Linked DNA regions of Struthio camelus. The protein of the gene in region 1 interacts with the protein of each later gene in a biochemical or structural test. Links are inferred from orthologs where the notes say so. Each region holds a gene or a part of one and is shown on either strand. Other genes may lie near its edges.

What was found. The genes of interacting proteins can lie anywhere in the genome.
Region 2: of the proteins of LRRK2 (region 1) and MAP2K3, one has a biochemical effect on the other in vitro, tested with the Homo sapiens proteins (2 studies listed by BioGRID). The link is inferred for Struthio camelus from reciprocal best matches to the Homo sapiens genes LRRK2 and MAP2K3.

What each region holds. Positions count from the first base shown.
Region 1 is NC_090942.1:16,687,546-16,694,970, reverse strand, and holds the start of LRRK2 (leucine-rich repeat serine/threonine-protein kinase 2), read left to right. Parts: upstream 1-4,325; 5' UTR 4,326-4,425; coding exon 4,426-4,594; intron 4,595-4,679; coding exon 4,680-4,765; intron 4,766-7,425. UniProt on the Homo sapiens protein: Serine/threonine-protein kinase which phosphorylates a broad range of proteins involved in multiple processes such as neuronal plasticity, innate immunity, autophagy, and vesicle trafficking.
Region 2 is NC_090956.1:4,373,052-4,380,712, forward strand, and holds the start of MAP2K3 (dual specificity mitogen-activated protein kinase kinase 3), read left to right. Parts: upstream 1-4,573; 5' UTR 4,574-4,679; coding exon 4,680-4,695; intron 4,696-7,661. UniProt on the Homo sapiens protein: Dual specificity kinase. Is activated by cytokines and environmental stress in vivo. Catalyzes the concomitant phosphorylation of a threonine and a tyrosine residue in the MAP kinase p38.

The DNA.
Region 1 (7,425 bases):
CCACACTCTCTGATGCATCATGAGAAAGAGTGCAGAAATATAAGAATCTTCCAGTATGGAAAAATAATAACTACTGGTGCTCCAGAGGTGAAGTTCTTTGGCTTTCCTATCAAAGCACTGGAAAAATGGTATTCAGACACCTATACTTCATTATCAATGCTCAACCTCTCTAGCAGTCATCATGACAAAAACTGCTTAATCAACAACCCTTGCTCTCTTTTGCAGATATGATTCACATCTTCACCAGCCTAAGAAAAATCTATGAATACCAGAGAAAATAACATTATGAACTTTTATCAAGAGTTTGTTCTTTTCATTCTCCTCTGGTTTAAGTGATACACTGCAGAATCGCACAGGACTTCGCAAACCATCCCAGACTCGTGGATACTTAGCAGTAGCTGATGCCCCCTCCAAGCAGTCCTCCAGGGAACAGTTTGCGAAGGAATGAAACTTGGGAGCCAGTCTGCAAGCTTTGGGCTTGAGATGTCTGTATCTCAAAAGGCTGGGTCCGGCTGGGTCCTTTACATATTCAGTCCCCTAGGAAGCACTAAGACAACTTTTTTTCTTGCTCTTTACCAATGCAAGAGGAAAGAGGAGGGAACATCAAACCAGGCCACAAACCACCTAGCTCAGGGAACAAACAATTGCTACAAATCATTTACCCAAAGAGCTGCAAAGGATTAGGGAGATAGTATCACCTGTACATAACGGGATGGAGCAGGCTGGAACTGCCTGTTGCAACTGGCAGCATTTGCCAGAAAGGTAGATACAGGGTGCACATTGAACATTTCGGAGAAGATTGATCATCATGTTTTCTGTGTTTATAATACTGCTGGAGTTCAGCTGTTAGCATTACTTGCTTGCCCTATCTCTTGCATTTTTCACAGGGACACCTGTTAGGTACCTGAAAAAGAAAACTTAGGATACCGTCTCTGGTAGTGCCTGCCAGTCAAAAATCAACTGAGGAAACATGCAGTAGTAAATATGAATTTGACCAATCATGTGTTATTATACTGTATAACACTGCCATAAGCCCATTTATAAATAGATGAAGCTAGGCACAACACAGAAGCAATTGCACCAAGTCAATGTTCATATAGTGATTATAATATGCTAGTGAATCCTAAATATGCTTTGAACCTTACAATTCAGGTTTAAAAAAGTGTATTCAAGAGACAAGTTCTCCAATTTCTGTACAATACAATTGCTTATCAGCATGACTGGGTTTCTACTTTTTCCCCTGAAATTAGGTGACAGATAAGAACAAAGACTTCCTGGTGCATGCGTGTTAACATTACAGTGTTCAAGGCCAAACCCAAACATCTGTATTGTTTTACATCCTCTCCACAAACATCATCAGTTAAGTTATTTTTAATATCCTGCATAGCTCCACATTGTCCCAAAGAGTGTTTATAAGCCACAGCTGGAAAGAAAAAGCAGGATGTCCTAACACAGTAGGCATCTCAGTGATAACTCTACCACCGAGATGCAAGAATCCAGCTTGTTTAAAAAAAAAAAAAAAAAAAAACACACACACATCTCCAAAGAACTCTGGTCAACCATGTACTTTATTCACTGTGATACAGAAATACAAAAGCTGAAGGTAGAGATCCGTTCTCATACGTTAGCAGGTAGAACAATTTATTAGTCTATGCTATGTCAGTATGTCATACTGTGTCTTTATAGCTGTCTGGATGGTCACACACCAGAGACAATACCATATATAATAATGAGCATTAGTTCCATCTGAGTCTAAGAGGACAAATAAAGAACGGCCCACAGTGGGCAGGTGGCTATTTGTCTAGCTATAAAACAAGAAGCAGAAATAATCCCTCTTATACTCAAGGCACTCAGCATCAAGAAAGACCCAGCTGCTACATATTTCTGGCAGATTTCGTAAAAACTATGAAAAGCTAATGCAAGTGTATGGAAGTGAAAGTTATCTGTAGTTTAGGGACGAACAAGGGAAGCTGAGCAACTCTGAAACCTCTAGAAACCCAAATAGGACATGCTGAAGAAATCACAGGTGAGATGTCTAAGAGACAGAAAGATCTTTTAAAGTACAGACTAAGATTACATTTTAGCTCTACTTTTTATCTTCTCTTTCCACCTAACAACCTAATACCCTGACCTTAAGTTTGCCAAACAGCTGGCAGCTGTTGGGGGCAGAGCGGATCAGAAAAGAACCGACCAACACAGTACTCTAAAAGCAGCAAAACAAACTCAGCACATACATGTAATCTCCAGCAGCCTACACCCAGGATGTAGTTAAAGAACCCACCTTATTTCAGGAGAAGGGTTCTCAATTCTCAAAGAGTTCTCAAAATGGAATCTCAATTTTCCTTAATGAAATTCACAACTTCATTCCACTTGCATTCACTGAAACTCCCAGTCTATACATAATTTGTACTAGCGTATTCCTAAAAAACCACAATGCAAAGAAATCTGGAGCAGCAGTAGAGCTGGTGAAAAATGCACCACTGAGTGCACTGAACAGCCACAAAATTCAGTTTAAGATTAAGATTTAGAAGTTAATGTATCACTTCATCTATCAATATCATTAATTATAAGATATAGTTTTGGAGAGACTAGACCTCACAACAGGCATTTCTGATGAGTATAAATTACGAAGATTGCCCTTTAAATACATCAAATCATTTACTCAAGTCTGATAATGGCTACGTTTTGGTAGGTATTCGAGAAAGCTGATTATTGATGTAACATGAAAGACTATTTGTATTCGTAAAATTTGCAGGATACAAGAACCTTGTCAAATTTGCAGGAAGGCTATGATCAGGCTTTAAGTCAAGAAAAACATTTTAAAGCTGCTCTTTGCGTTAGAATTACTGCCTCTGCAGAAAGGAAACACATCTTTCAAGTAAAAGTAATCTATTTCAATCCAACTCATTTTCCTTTTAGTTCAGATGTAATGCATTTTGTTTAAGTCAAAATGCGAGTCACTGCTTCATAAAGCTACCTCACACTCATATTTGTTCTCTAGTGCTTCACAGAGAAATAACTAGCTCACCATCTAACAAATGCAGTCTTAGTTAGCAGGCTATAATTGGGAGGCCAAGACAATAGTTTCTTTGTGCACAAAAATGTAAGAACTCTCAGTGACTGGGACAGCAATGCCCAAGTTTTTCAGGACCAAAACGCCAACAGACCAGAGACAGTTTAGCCAGCGCTACGTGGGTTCTGAAGCGTTACTCAGAGTGCTCAGTTCTGCTTCTTAAGAAGAGTCTGTTTTAAGAAACTCAAGCCAATCACCTAAGTCAGGTGTTCAATAAACACGATGCATATCTATCCACAAGGCATGAAAACCTAAGCAAGAGCTTCAAATAGATCCATACTCCTACCATCATCCTCCAAAAGGTCAAACGTTTATCTAACAAAATCCAGTTTAACTAGATAATTTACTTTATTAACTAACACTTTTCTTTGAAAAGCAGCAAGAGGTACCAGAAATATTGTCAGATTACAGGAAGATTGCATCAATCACAAATGAAGCAACACATGCACAAGGCAAGAGAGCCTTGTCTCAGGAAGGCCCACCGTTGCAAAGCTTAGAGTGAAATTTAACTTCTAAATGCAACACCACTTTTTTTTTTTTTTAACCAAACCTGTGGACCTAATTGAGGCCATCAGGCCAAACCACTCAGGAGGGCAGAGCACACACTGCCCTCCACCACGGTCAACTTGAACCACTGAGGCCCTCTGCTCTCATCTCAGCCACCACACAGCCGACTTAACCTCTCAAGGAAGGGGAGGAGCCCCCTCGCTGCCCCCCCAGGCCCTCGCTGACAGCCCAGCCACAGGAGGGGACACGCAACCCCCCTGCACCTCCCCAGGCAAGGCGGACCTCACCAGCTCAGGACCTGTCCTACCCTCCCAGAGGGGACAGACACACAGCCTACACACGCTCCCCCTTTCCCTTCCCTACAGACTACAGCACCCCGCCCCCAGACCTATTTTCCTCTAATACACTCAGATGAGGAACCCTCAGCCCCTCACGCCGCCCTATATCGTAAACGGGGGCGAAGGGGCGGAGCCGAGGCCTCCCCTCTGCCACTCTATTGGAGAATGGGGCTGTCGCTCACTGGAACCGGGCCCGCCGCCTGGGGCTGTTGCCAAGCCGCCGCGGGCGCCCCCTGGGGGCGGCGGGGATCCCCGCCCGCCCGCCCGCGCGGGTTTGGCAGCGCGCCGCGCCGGTCACGGCCCCGGGAGGAGCGGGGCGGAGCGCAGCGCAGCGCAGCGGAGTGGGGAGCGGCCGCCGCGGAGGCTCGGAGCAGCTGGGTGACGCCGGCCGGGCGGCGCTGCGAGCGCGGCGCAGCGTGGCGACGGGCGGCCCCAGCCCTGCTCCCTTGGGCCGCGGCGGCCCGCGCGTGGGGTGAGCCGCGGCCGAGGAGGGGCAGCGGGGCGGCCATGGCCAGCGCCAGCCCTGAGGAGAGGGAGGCGGCGGCGGCGGCGGCGAGGGAGGAACAAGCCCTGAGCAAGCTGGTGGTGCGGCTCCAAAACGTGCAGGAGAGGAAGCGGCTGGAGACGCTGGTGCAGACCCTGAGCGACCTGCTGGAGCTGGCGGCCCGGCAGAGCGGTAAGGCGCGGCGGGCCGCGCTGCCCCCCCCCGCCCGGCGGCGGCGGGCGCTAACGCGGCCTCTCTGCCTCCCCCCTCTCCGCAGCCCCGAAACTCTTCAACGGCAGAAACGTCCACGTGCCGGTGCTGGTGGTGGCCGACCTGTACGCGGGAGCGGCGGGCGTGCAGCAGGTAACCGCCGGGCCGGGAGGGGAGGGGAGGGGAAGGGGCCGCCGCCGCCGCCGCGGCCCGGCCCGGAGTGAGGCGTGAGGCGGGGACGGGGCGGCCCTCGCCGGCCGGGGACGGGGCCGGGGCCCGGCCGCCGCCGCCCTCCACAAGGGCGAAGTCGGGAGAGGAAACGGCGGATTAAAGCGCCTCTGGGCCACCCCGGTGCTCTCCGGCTAAGCCGAGCCTCTCCGTCCTTTCCTGGAAGAAAAATTACTGCTTGGCTCTTTCTTTCCCGTTTTCTTAATTTTCGTATGTTTGAGAAGGCGACCCTCGGAAGGCTGTTGGTCTGCAGAAGGACGCGGTGTCTGCTTGCTTTTAAAAGGGATGGCTCTTCCAGCTCGTCGCTGGTGCTGCTTAAGCAATAAAAGGAGGTAGCGTAGAAAATAGAAGTCAAGCAACGCGAATACGGTATTGCATAGGTTCTGCGTTACAAATAACGTTATCTAGCGCGTTCTCGACCTGATGGTATTACCCTTTGCCGAGGTTGAACTGACTTTTGAAAAGTGGAATGATACAATACGAATCCAGACATCTGTAGCCCTATCCTACAAGAGAGTTGTACCAGCCGCTGATTTTTTAGGAGAGGAAAATTCTTCTTTTAGCTAAGAAGAGGTTCTGCAGTCTATGGTCGTGCTTGGCTTTTGCCCTCCCTTGACATTGGCCCAGTTGGATTAGGTGTGGCACATCTGCAATTTGATGTTGTACTTGCAGTGCAGTTGCCAGATTTGTCATATGAAACAACTCCTTCTTGGCAGGCATATATTAAATTTACGACTGTGTTATTCCCAAAGGACGTTCATAAATTGTAGATGTCTGTGCAATGCGTTCGCTTTTTTGTTAAAAAAAAATTGTATGATTGCAACATTTCTGGCATCTTTTTTTTTCTATTCACTAGAAAGCAAACCATAAATGATGTCATAAAAGCGGCTTAAATAATGGTACTATTTAAGAGCACGTTTCTTAAGCTACTAGACCTTAGCCAGAGGTCACAAATATACAATTCAGATTAAAATGTGAAACTGTACTCCTGCCTGTGATGTGTAATGTTTACAGTGGCAATAACAATCCTCTCAAGCATATTGCCTCTCGAGCAATATGCTCTAGAGGTCCCTGCTTGAGCAGGGAGGTTGGACTAGATGATCTCCAGAGGTCCCTTCCAACCTAAACGATTCTGTGATTCTGTGATTCTTTTGAACACTAAAATATCTGTGCAGAATTTGAAGTTTTAACTTATTTTACTATTCAATTGTTGGGTCATTAAGAAATACAGAAGGATTCCTCATCAATTACTTTGGGGATAAAACATATTATGTATGTAACAGTTTACAAAATTAACGTCCAGAAGTTTGGACTAGGAAGTACAAAATACGAAATCCAGTAACAACCAGGAGTAGGTCTGAAATGACTTTGTGGAATGCTTAGACGTGCATAAGGAAGATAGAGATCATTTAATTTTCATTTTAGCTATGCTAACACTCCTCTTACATGATTTAATGCAGAATTTTAAAACAAATTTTAATCTTCACTCTGCCTGCCTTTGCAATCTCACAGTGCTTCAGTTCAGAAGTTTCGGAGCACTTTTATGTTACTACATTGTATATGAGTGTCAGATTCATAGCCAGGGCAAAGCTCAAATCCTGTTACTCATAAAATGCCGTGGGCAGCTATTCCTTCACTTTCTGTTACGATATTTACAACAGTAAATCCCACAGTATAGGAGTGGAACTCTATCTTCCTTGCTTCATCCACTGTGATTCATTTGCAGTCCTTATGAATACACAAATCTCACTTCAGGCACTGAGGGAGTCATGTAGTCTGCATTTCAGTGCAGTCCCTTTATACTACTAAATAATTTTTGTTGAACAAATTGGATAATCAGCCAGTAGCCTCTTTTGCTTTTGGCATTGTAATAAAATTGATTCGTATAAGCGAGTCAACGCAGTAAGAGCTCTATCTGAAGTGAGGATTGTCTTTTCCTCTTCTGCTTAGCTGGTTACAAAGCATCTCGTGCTGCTGTTCCACTGAGTAAATTTGCTGCATAGATCAATATTGCAGGTATCAGTGCAAGTCGAACTACAGATAGAAACTTTGCAAACTTCTTTACAAGTAGGAAGGTACCGGACTGGAAAGTCAATAGTGCCTTAAAATAAAATAGACATCTTTTAAGTAAATATGGTTGTTTCTTTCTGCAGTTACTGACTGGCAGTGATTGCAGCAGCTTAGCGAGTGTAGAGCAAAACATGTTTATACTTGAGTAAAGAGCAATCAGCAGAGCTTTATTGTCTCACACAGAAAGCGTGAGCTAATGCAATATAAATTCATTGCATGCTAGAAATGAGAAGGGGCTGATTAAATAGCCACAGGGTTTCAGTGCTGCCACCAACTGTTCCTGTCTCTAGGGACCGGCTTTAGCTGTAAGAATATTCTTGTTTTCTGTCTTTTTTCTTTTTTCTTTTTTTTTTTTTGCTTTCCCTGTAGGCTTTAGACTCTCTGGTATTCTGGTATTTAACAGACTCTTACTTTCTTGTATTACTATTAAACACATAAAAGGCTGTCTGTAATCTCAGACTGTGATTTTAATATTGTAAAATAAGCCTCATGTCAACAGGTCACATTTGCTTTGG
Region 2 (7,661 bases), on another chromosome or scaffold:
GGCTGTACTGGTGCTGCACTGGTACCTTGCACTGGCGTACTGGTCCTGCATGGTTGTACTGGTGCTACACTGGTACTCTGTAGAGGTGTACTGGTGCAGCATGAGTGCACTGGGGTGGTGTACTGGTGCTGCACTGGTTTGCTCTACTAGCATACTCACTCTTGCTCTGGGGTATGGTGCAAACCCTAAATTCCTGCACCTCACGTGATGCCCCTTTCCAGAAGCGCGGTGCCTTTTCCCGCATGCTGGTGGGCTGTGGGAACACTCCGCTGCAGGGCAACACCAGGCTGCGTTTGTAGGCAGCGCTGAAAACCCCACAGACACCACGAGGCTTCCCGAAGGGGCTGGCTACAGAAACGGTGCTGCATGGGTGTCCAGCTTCTTGGGGCGCTTGTCCTGAGAGACAAGCAGGCTGCAAAAGCAGGAGAAACTGTGTATGTTGGCTGTTACAGGATACCACAGACACCTGAGCATGCGTGTGGGGAGCACAGATACCATAGACAGTGTATTTGGGATGGCTGCATTAATTGCATCTTTTGAAACATAAGGAACTTGACTTTCCATGCACCATGTTGTGTAAATCAGAGTCTGTTCAATGAAATCGGTGTATCCACTATATGCAAAATTGGTTGATGAAATAGGCTGTCTGGTTCCTTGTTTGTTGAGCCGTAGCAACAAAATCTTGGTATCCTTGAACTGAAAGCTTTTGGAGGTAGGAGCTGCATCTATAGAAAGTGTTTGCGCAACAGCTAGTGCAGTGGGGCAGGGTGGTGGCTGTTTGTATAATAGGAAAAGTAACAATATTTAGAATTATTCTATAAAGTGGAATAGATAATCAGCGTAGTCTGCGCTTAAATAATGCCTTGTGAAGTTAGGCCTTCATTTACTAATCCCTTTGGTTCCTACTCCCTGAAGTCAAGAGTTTACAGACTGATTGATTCCTCAGGCCAGCAGGTTTATTTGGCTCATGCCGCTCCATGGACCCGGGCTGATGCCAAGGCGTTGTGCTGAACGCAGGCTCCGGAGCTGCGCGCCACCGCTCAGCAGAGCCCGTGGAGCTGCAGTACCTGCCAGGCTGCAGAAATGGGCTGGCTCTGGTGGGAGAAGGCTTCGTTACCTTCCTGGTACGTGAAAGGCTAGAAAATGTCAGTAACGTGAAGTTGTCCTTCTCCTGCGCTCTTTAGCCGGTGACCTTGAGAGATTTAACAAACGCAAATTAGCCGCTTTCACGGCGTGCCTGCGTGGTTGGTATGCGGTGTGATCTCCTTTGTAAGTCACGGCACAAAGCGGTTAAGAAATGCGTCCCACGTCGCTAGGCAGATCTGCGGCGGTTCGGCGGGGAGAAAGGAAGCCTGTGGCTGAGGTTCAATTCCTTCCTTTGTTACAGGCCTTCTGGGCGAGCGGGGAATCAATTACTCCCTCCCAGCAGCCTTCGCTAAGCCCGTGCTTCCAGGCCGTATGGCGATGCTGGAAGATAAAGATGGCAAAACATTGTGAGCACGTGAACGCAAGGGAAGCCAAACACAGGCTGTAAAGAGCAGGGCCCAGCACAGCTGTGATTTTGTGGGGAGGAAGAAGATGAGCGGCATGAGCTCAAGGGCATGGGGGAGCCTGGCGCAGGTGGAGACAGGGGCCAAATCCAGCACCCGGCTTTGAGCTGTGAGGGGGTGCCAATGCCCTGGAGCCTGCAGGAGGGGCTCGGGGGAAATGCGTGGCTGGGATCCTGAGAAGGGATGGAAAGGAGAAGCGTATTGCACGTGGACGAAGGGGAGCTCCCCGCTGGGTTTCCCTGCTCTGCGGTGACAGGGGACGTGGCAGGTGCTGCATCCGGCTGTGCGGGCGCCGCACACTTGGCGGCTCTCAAACCCGCCCTGGCGCAGCGCCACAGCAGCGGGGCTGGGGACAGTCCCCAGCTCTCTCCTCCAGCGAGGCCGCCAGCCACTGAAGTGCAGAGCGTCGAGCGCCAGCAGCAAGGACCTCAGCGTGTTCAGTGCGGTCTGACCCACACCTCCCTCCTTTTCCCTCCGTCCTTCCAGAGCCTACAAAATCCACAGATTTACCTATAACATTCTCGAAACGTGGAGTGGCCTTCCAGGAATGCTAAAAATCTACCTCCCTTGCGGAAGTTTCTGGGAACGCTTAAGCTCTGCTGGGACATTTTGCTCTGCCTTTGCCTGTGATGATTACCTCTGCCTCAGGCCAGCAATTACAGCTCCCTCTGATCTTTCCGATACACTTACCCAGCAGTGAGTCGGTTGGATCTGATGATGAGCAGCTCAGACAGACAGGAGGAGTTGCAGGCAAAAGAAACAACTCCGGCAGACACCTAGAGGTTGCAAAATAAAGAGAAAGATGCCCATGAGAGGCAACTGGGCCCTGGCTCCAAAGAGGAGATGACCAACCCTCAAATGCTGCCTCTGGTCCTGTTCCTGCCCTTCCGGCCGGACCATTCTCCTTCTCCTCATTGCAGCTAGCAATGGTTCATGAGTTTTCCTTCTCTCCCTAGCCCCAGTGCCTTGCCAGCCTGTCCGATTTTCATGCTGAGCGCATCCAAATTCCCATTCATACCTCTGCAGCGCTTCTGCGTCTGAAGATCTCCGAGCAGGTTACAAACATCTGTTGGTTAAACTCCCCAGTGATTCAAGGAGGAGGAATAAAACGAGGCGATTGTTTCATCCACCCCTTTAATTGCAGCCCAGGCTGGAGCAGGCAGCAATCTCCTGCCGTGCCTGGTGGTGAAAGGAGGAGGAACCACATAGCACAAAACGTGCTCCTAGACACAAGGGTTGCGCCCCGCGCTCACAAGGGCTCCCCCAGGCTCCGGGGAGCACAACGGCCAAGATGTCTCCGGTGTTACGTTGCCGAAGCCGGCCCCACCGGTCCTTGCAGGTGCCCTTCCAGCTGGAGACAAGGGAGTCTCCTATTTGCTAAGGCGCAAAGGAGCGCTCTTCTCTCTGCAGTGGCATCCAGCGAATCTCACACCCAAATACTGACCCAGCCCAAACCTGTTCGGATCAGCCAGTCTGGAGTTCAAACCCAACTGCTGATTCAGAGGTTTGTAGGGCTAAAAGCCAGGAAAGTCCATGATGATCTGATCTCCTGCTTACCCAGCCCAAAGAATGACATCGGTAGCTCTTGCTTCACCACTAATAACCTTGTGGTTGGAACAGGAGCATATTTTTTAGAAAGACTCCTTGTCTGTGTTGAAAGACTGGAAAGGTGGTGAATCTACTACATCCCTTGGGAAGGTAATTGCTGTCACCATTAAAAAATTTGTAATTTATTTCCCATTTGAACTTTTCTAGCTTCAGTTTCCAGTTGCTGGCTCTGACACCACTGCGGCCGGATTAAAGGTCCATTCGAGGCGGGACATCTTTCCTTTGCATAGACACGGCCCACCCAGCTCCTCCGCTTCTGCTGCGATTCCCGTGCGCTGTTTCTGAGACAGGTTTTCCAGTCCTTGAACCCATGCAAAACGCTTCGCAAAACACACGTCTTGGAACTGGGCTTGCTGCGACTTCACCGAGGCTGCGTTCAGGGTTGCCGCCTCTCCGACCCCTCCTTCCGTCCCTGGACGGATCACACTGCGGATTCCTGCCAGAAAACTGCATTCCCAACTTGCTTTTTGCTCATTTCCGCTACGTCACTCGTGTCCTGCTCAGCCACTGCTTTCTGCAACGCAGCAGGCGCAGAAGAAGAGCCCCCTCACGCCGCCGGCATCTGCCCGGGCATATTGCTGGGCTTGAAGGAATTTTGTGGTGACTCAGGGCGAGGAACGAATTCCCGCTGGCTTCCCAGCCCGGCCTGCGCGCCTCCGTGCATCCCCAGCGCCTGCGATAAACACAGCCGCCCTTCAGGATCGGACGCCGGCGTGAGCGGGCCGGGCTGGGCCGGGGCAGCTCGGCGGGGGCACAAGGGGTATCGCCCAGAGCAGCCGTCCCAAGGGAAACGTGATGAGCTGGCTGGTCTCAGCCGTGCGAAGCGCTGGGCCCCCGCCGGCGGATGGGGGGGCCGGTCCGGCCCCGCCGTGGTCCCGAGCGGCGAGGGGCCTCGTGGGCTCGGGGCGGCGGGACCGGGTGGCGCGAACGGGCCGACGAGCCTGACGGGCCGGGGCTGCTGGTGCTGGGCCCCTGGACGGCCCTGCACGGGACGGCGGGCTCGGGGCTCTCGGGTGGGCCCCGGGCGAGGAGGAGGAGGAGGGTGATGGCTTCCCCGAGCAGGGGAGGAAGGCTCCGAGGCCTCGCCGTGGCTCACGGCCCGCGGCAGCCAGGGAGGCCCGTGCGGCCCCACGTGCCGCAGCCTCGCCGAGGCCCCGTAGCCTCCCCTCAGCCCCGAGCCGCCGTTCCGGGGCAGCCGAGCGGCCTCGAGCCCCGCCTCGGTGCAACGGGGCGGTTGGCGCAACGGTGCTGGGGGCAAGATGGAGGAGAAAGCCTCCCTCTGCCCGCCCGCCCGCCTGCCTCCCTCCAGCCGCACGCCCGAGAACCATAAAACTCTCCGAGCCCTAACCCCGCCCCCTCCCTCCAGACAACCAATAGAAGGGAAGCTCCGGCGGTGGGGGGCGGTGCCTGGCCAGCCCTCGCCCCGCCCCGCGGCTCTTTCCCCGCTGTCGGCCGCGCTCGCCCGGACACCGCCGGGCGCTCGCCGTGCCCTGGGCATGCTGCGGGCCGCCGCCGCCAGCCATGTCGCTGCCCAGAGGTAGGAGAGCGGCGCCGCCGCCGCCGCCTCGGGGAGGGCGGGCTGGGGGCGGCCCGCAGCGGGGGCCTGGGCCTCGCCGGGCCTCGGGTGCGGGGGGGCGCGAAGCGGGGCAGGGCCGGGCGCGTCCCGAGAGGTGGCCCGCTGTGCTCCAAGGAGTCCTCGGGCACGTCTGAAGGCATCGCCCAGCACGTCCCTACCGCATCCCTGGCCACGTCCCTACAGCATCCCCCCCGCGCGTCCTACGGCATCCCTGGCCACGTCCTACAGCATCCCCCCGCGCGTCCTACGGCATCCCTGGCCACGTCCTACAGCATCCCTGGCCACGTCCTACGGCATCCCTGGCCATGTCCCTACAGCATCCCTGGCCACGTCCTACAGCGTCCCTGGCCACGTCCCTACAGCATCCCCCCGCGCGTCCTACAGCATCCCTGGCCATGTCCTACAGCATCCCTGGCCACGTCCCTACAGCATCCCTGGCCACGTCCTACAGCATCCCTGGCCACGTCCTACGGCATCCCTGGCCATGTCCCTACAGCGTCCCTGGCCACGTCCCTACAGCATCCCTGGCCACGTCCCTACAGCATCCCTGGCCACGTCCCTACAGCATCCCCCCGCGCGTCCTACGGCATCCCTGGCCACGTCCCTACAGCATCCCTGGCCACGTCCCTACAGCATCCCTGGCCACGTCCCTACAGCGTCCCTGGCCATGTCCCTACAGCATCCCCCCGCGCGTCCTACGGCATCCCTGGCCATGTCCCTACAACATCCCTGGCCACGTCCTACAGCATCCCTGGCCACGTCCTACGGCATCCCTGGCCACGTCCCTACAGCATCCCTGGCCACGTCCTACGGCATCCCTGGCCACGTCCCTACAGCATCCCTGGCCACGTCCCTACAGCATCCCCCCGCGCGTCCTACGGCATCCCTGGCCACGTCCCTACCGCATCCCTGGCCACGTCCTACAGCATCCCTGGCCACGTCCCTACAGCATCCCCCCGCGCGTCCTACGGCGTCCCTGGCCATGTCCCTACAACATCCCTGGCCACGTCCCTACCGCATCCCTGGCCACGTCCCTACCGCATCCCTGGCCACGTCCCTACAGCATCCCCCCGCGCGTCCTACGGCGTCCCTGGCCATGTCCCTACAACATCCCTGGCCACGTCCTACAGCATCCCTGGCCACGTCCTACGGCATCCCTGGCCACGTCCCTACAGCATCCCTGGCCACGTCCTACGGCATCCCTGGCCACGTCCCTACAGCATCCCTGGCCACGTCCCTACAGCATCCCCCCGCGCGTCCTACGGCATCCCTGGCCACGTCCCTACAGCATCCCTGGCCACGTCCCTACAGCATCCCTGGCCACGTCCCTACAGCGTCCCTGGCCACGTCCCTACAGCATCCCCCCGCGCGTCCTACGGCATCCCTGGCCACGTCCCTACAGCATCCCTGGCCACGTCCCTACAGCATCCCCCCGCGCGTCCTACGGCATCCCTGGCCACGTCCCTACGGCATCCCTGGCCACGTCCCTACAGCATCCCCCCGCGCGTCCTACGGCATCCCTGGCCACGTCCCTACAGCATCCCCCCGCGCGTCCTACGGCATCCCTGGCCACGTCCCTACAGCATCCCCCCGCGCGTCCTACAGCATCCCTGGCCTTGCCGGGAAGCCTCCCCAGGTGCCACACTTGCCGCGGGCATCGCGGTGGCCCCAGTCTTGGTGGCACCCGGGGACGGCGGTGCCCTGCGGGGGCCCCCCTGGCAGCAGGGATGCGGGGCGTGCTTTCCCCGCGCGGACGGTGCAGCCTGGATGTCCCCAGCCGGGGTTGGCACCCGGTGAGCGCGTCTGGGCGCAGCTTTGGACCTTGCGTTTGTTGACAGAGGTGGTGGGGCAGGCCTCCGGCGCGGCCTGGGCTAGGGACAAGGTAATCGGCCTTTCCGAGCGTGTTGTCCCCCCCTCGTGATGCAAGTTTTCAGGTGTCAACTGGATGGTCCTTGTCTTAATATTGGTTTAATTAAGGCTTAATGGAGTAATTAAGTCTTATGTAAACTGGGAAGATAGGATGCTAGATATAAAATTGTTGCCTAATCTTTCGTGTATAAGTTTCCTGTTATCTGCACTCTTGGTGTACCGCCAGGAAAGTGCTGATAGGTAGTGCAGTTCTGTTAGGTGAAGTAAAGAAAATCTTTCAGGCTTGCCTCCCTTGTAATTAAGTTGCTTATGCGGAAACAAAAGTATGTGAAGCTCTTTGGAAACAGCTTGAAGACAACCATCCCTGTTCTTGTCCATTCAGAATCAGAGACGTGGATCTACCTGGCCATGCACGTGAGGTTCCTCAGTTCTCATCCATTTTGCTGCGTCTTTGCACGTGCTTAAAAGCATATGCGTGATTTTATAGGATCTGGGCTGAAATGATCTGAAGTTGCTGGTAGGCAGGAATGCTCTGTTGGCCAGTTGGAACGATTGGACTGACTCGCTGTTTTTAAGTTGGTGCCTGAATAGATAAACGAGTGATTTCACCAGATGGAGCAATTGGGCAGCGTGTTTTTCTGTCCGTCGAAACATCTTGGCAAGTGCAGAACGCTCAGAAACTGAGCAAGGCCGACACTGGTTCTAAACTTACTGAGCCTGAATTGCAGTACAAGGGCCAGACCGCTAAGCTGGGTACTATATGGTGGAGGCAAGATGGGAGGTGATGTTCCCCTGCTTCTTCCAAAGCGTTAGCTGTATTTGTGACCTGCTGCCTGATCCCAGTTGGGGGATGTTGTGCTGTTTGGATGTGCTGGCTTTGTGTTGTCCCCCTCTTCTGGTTCGGCACTGGGACACAGTTCTTACACCCTTGTCCTGTCTGCACCGTCCTGAGGTACCAAATTTGGGACGTGTGTGTTTCTTAGAGGAAAACATGAACAAACAGCACGGTTTGGCCTTCAGCCTGCTGAAATTAAAGGGGATGGAAGTGTTGAAATGCC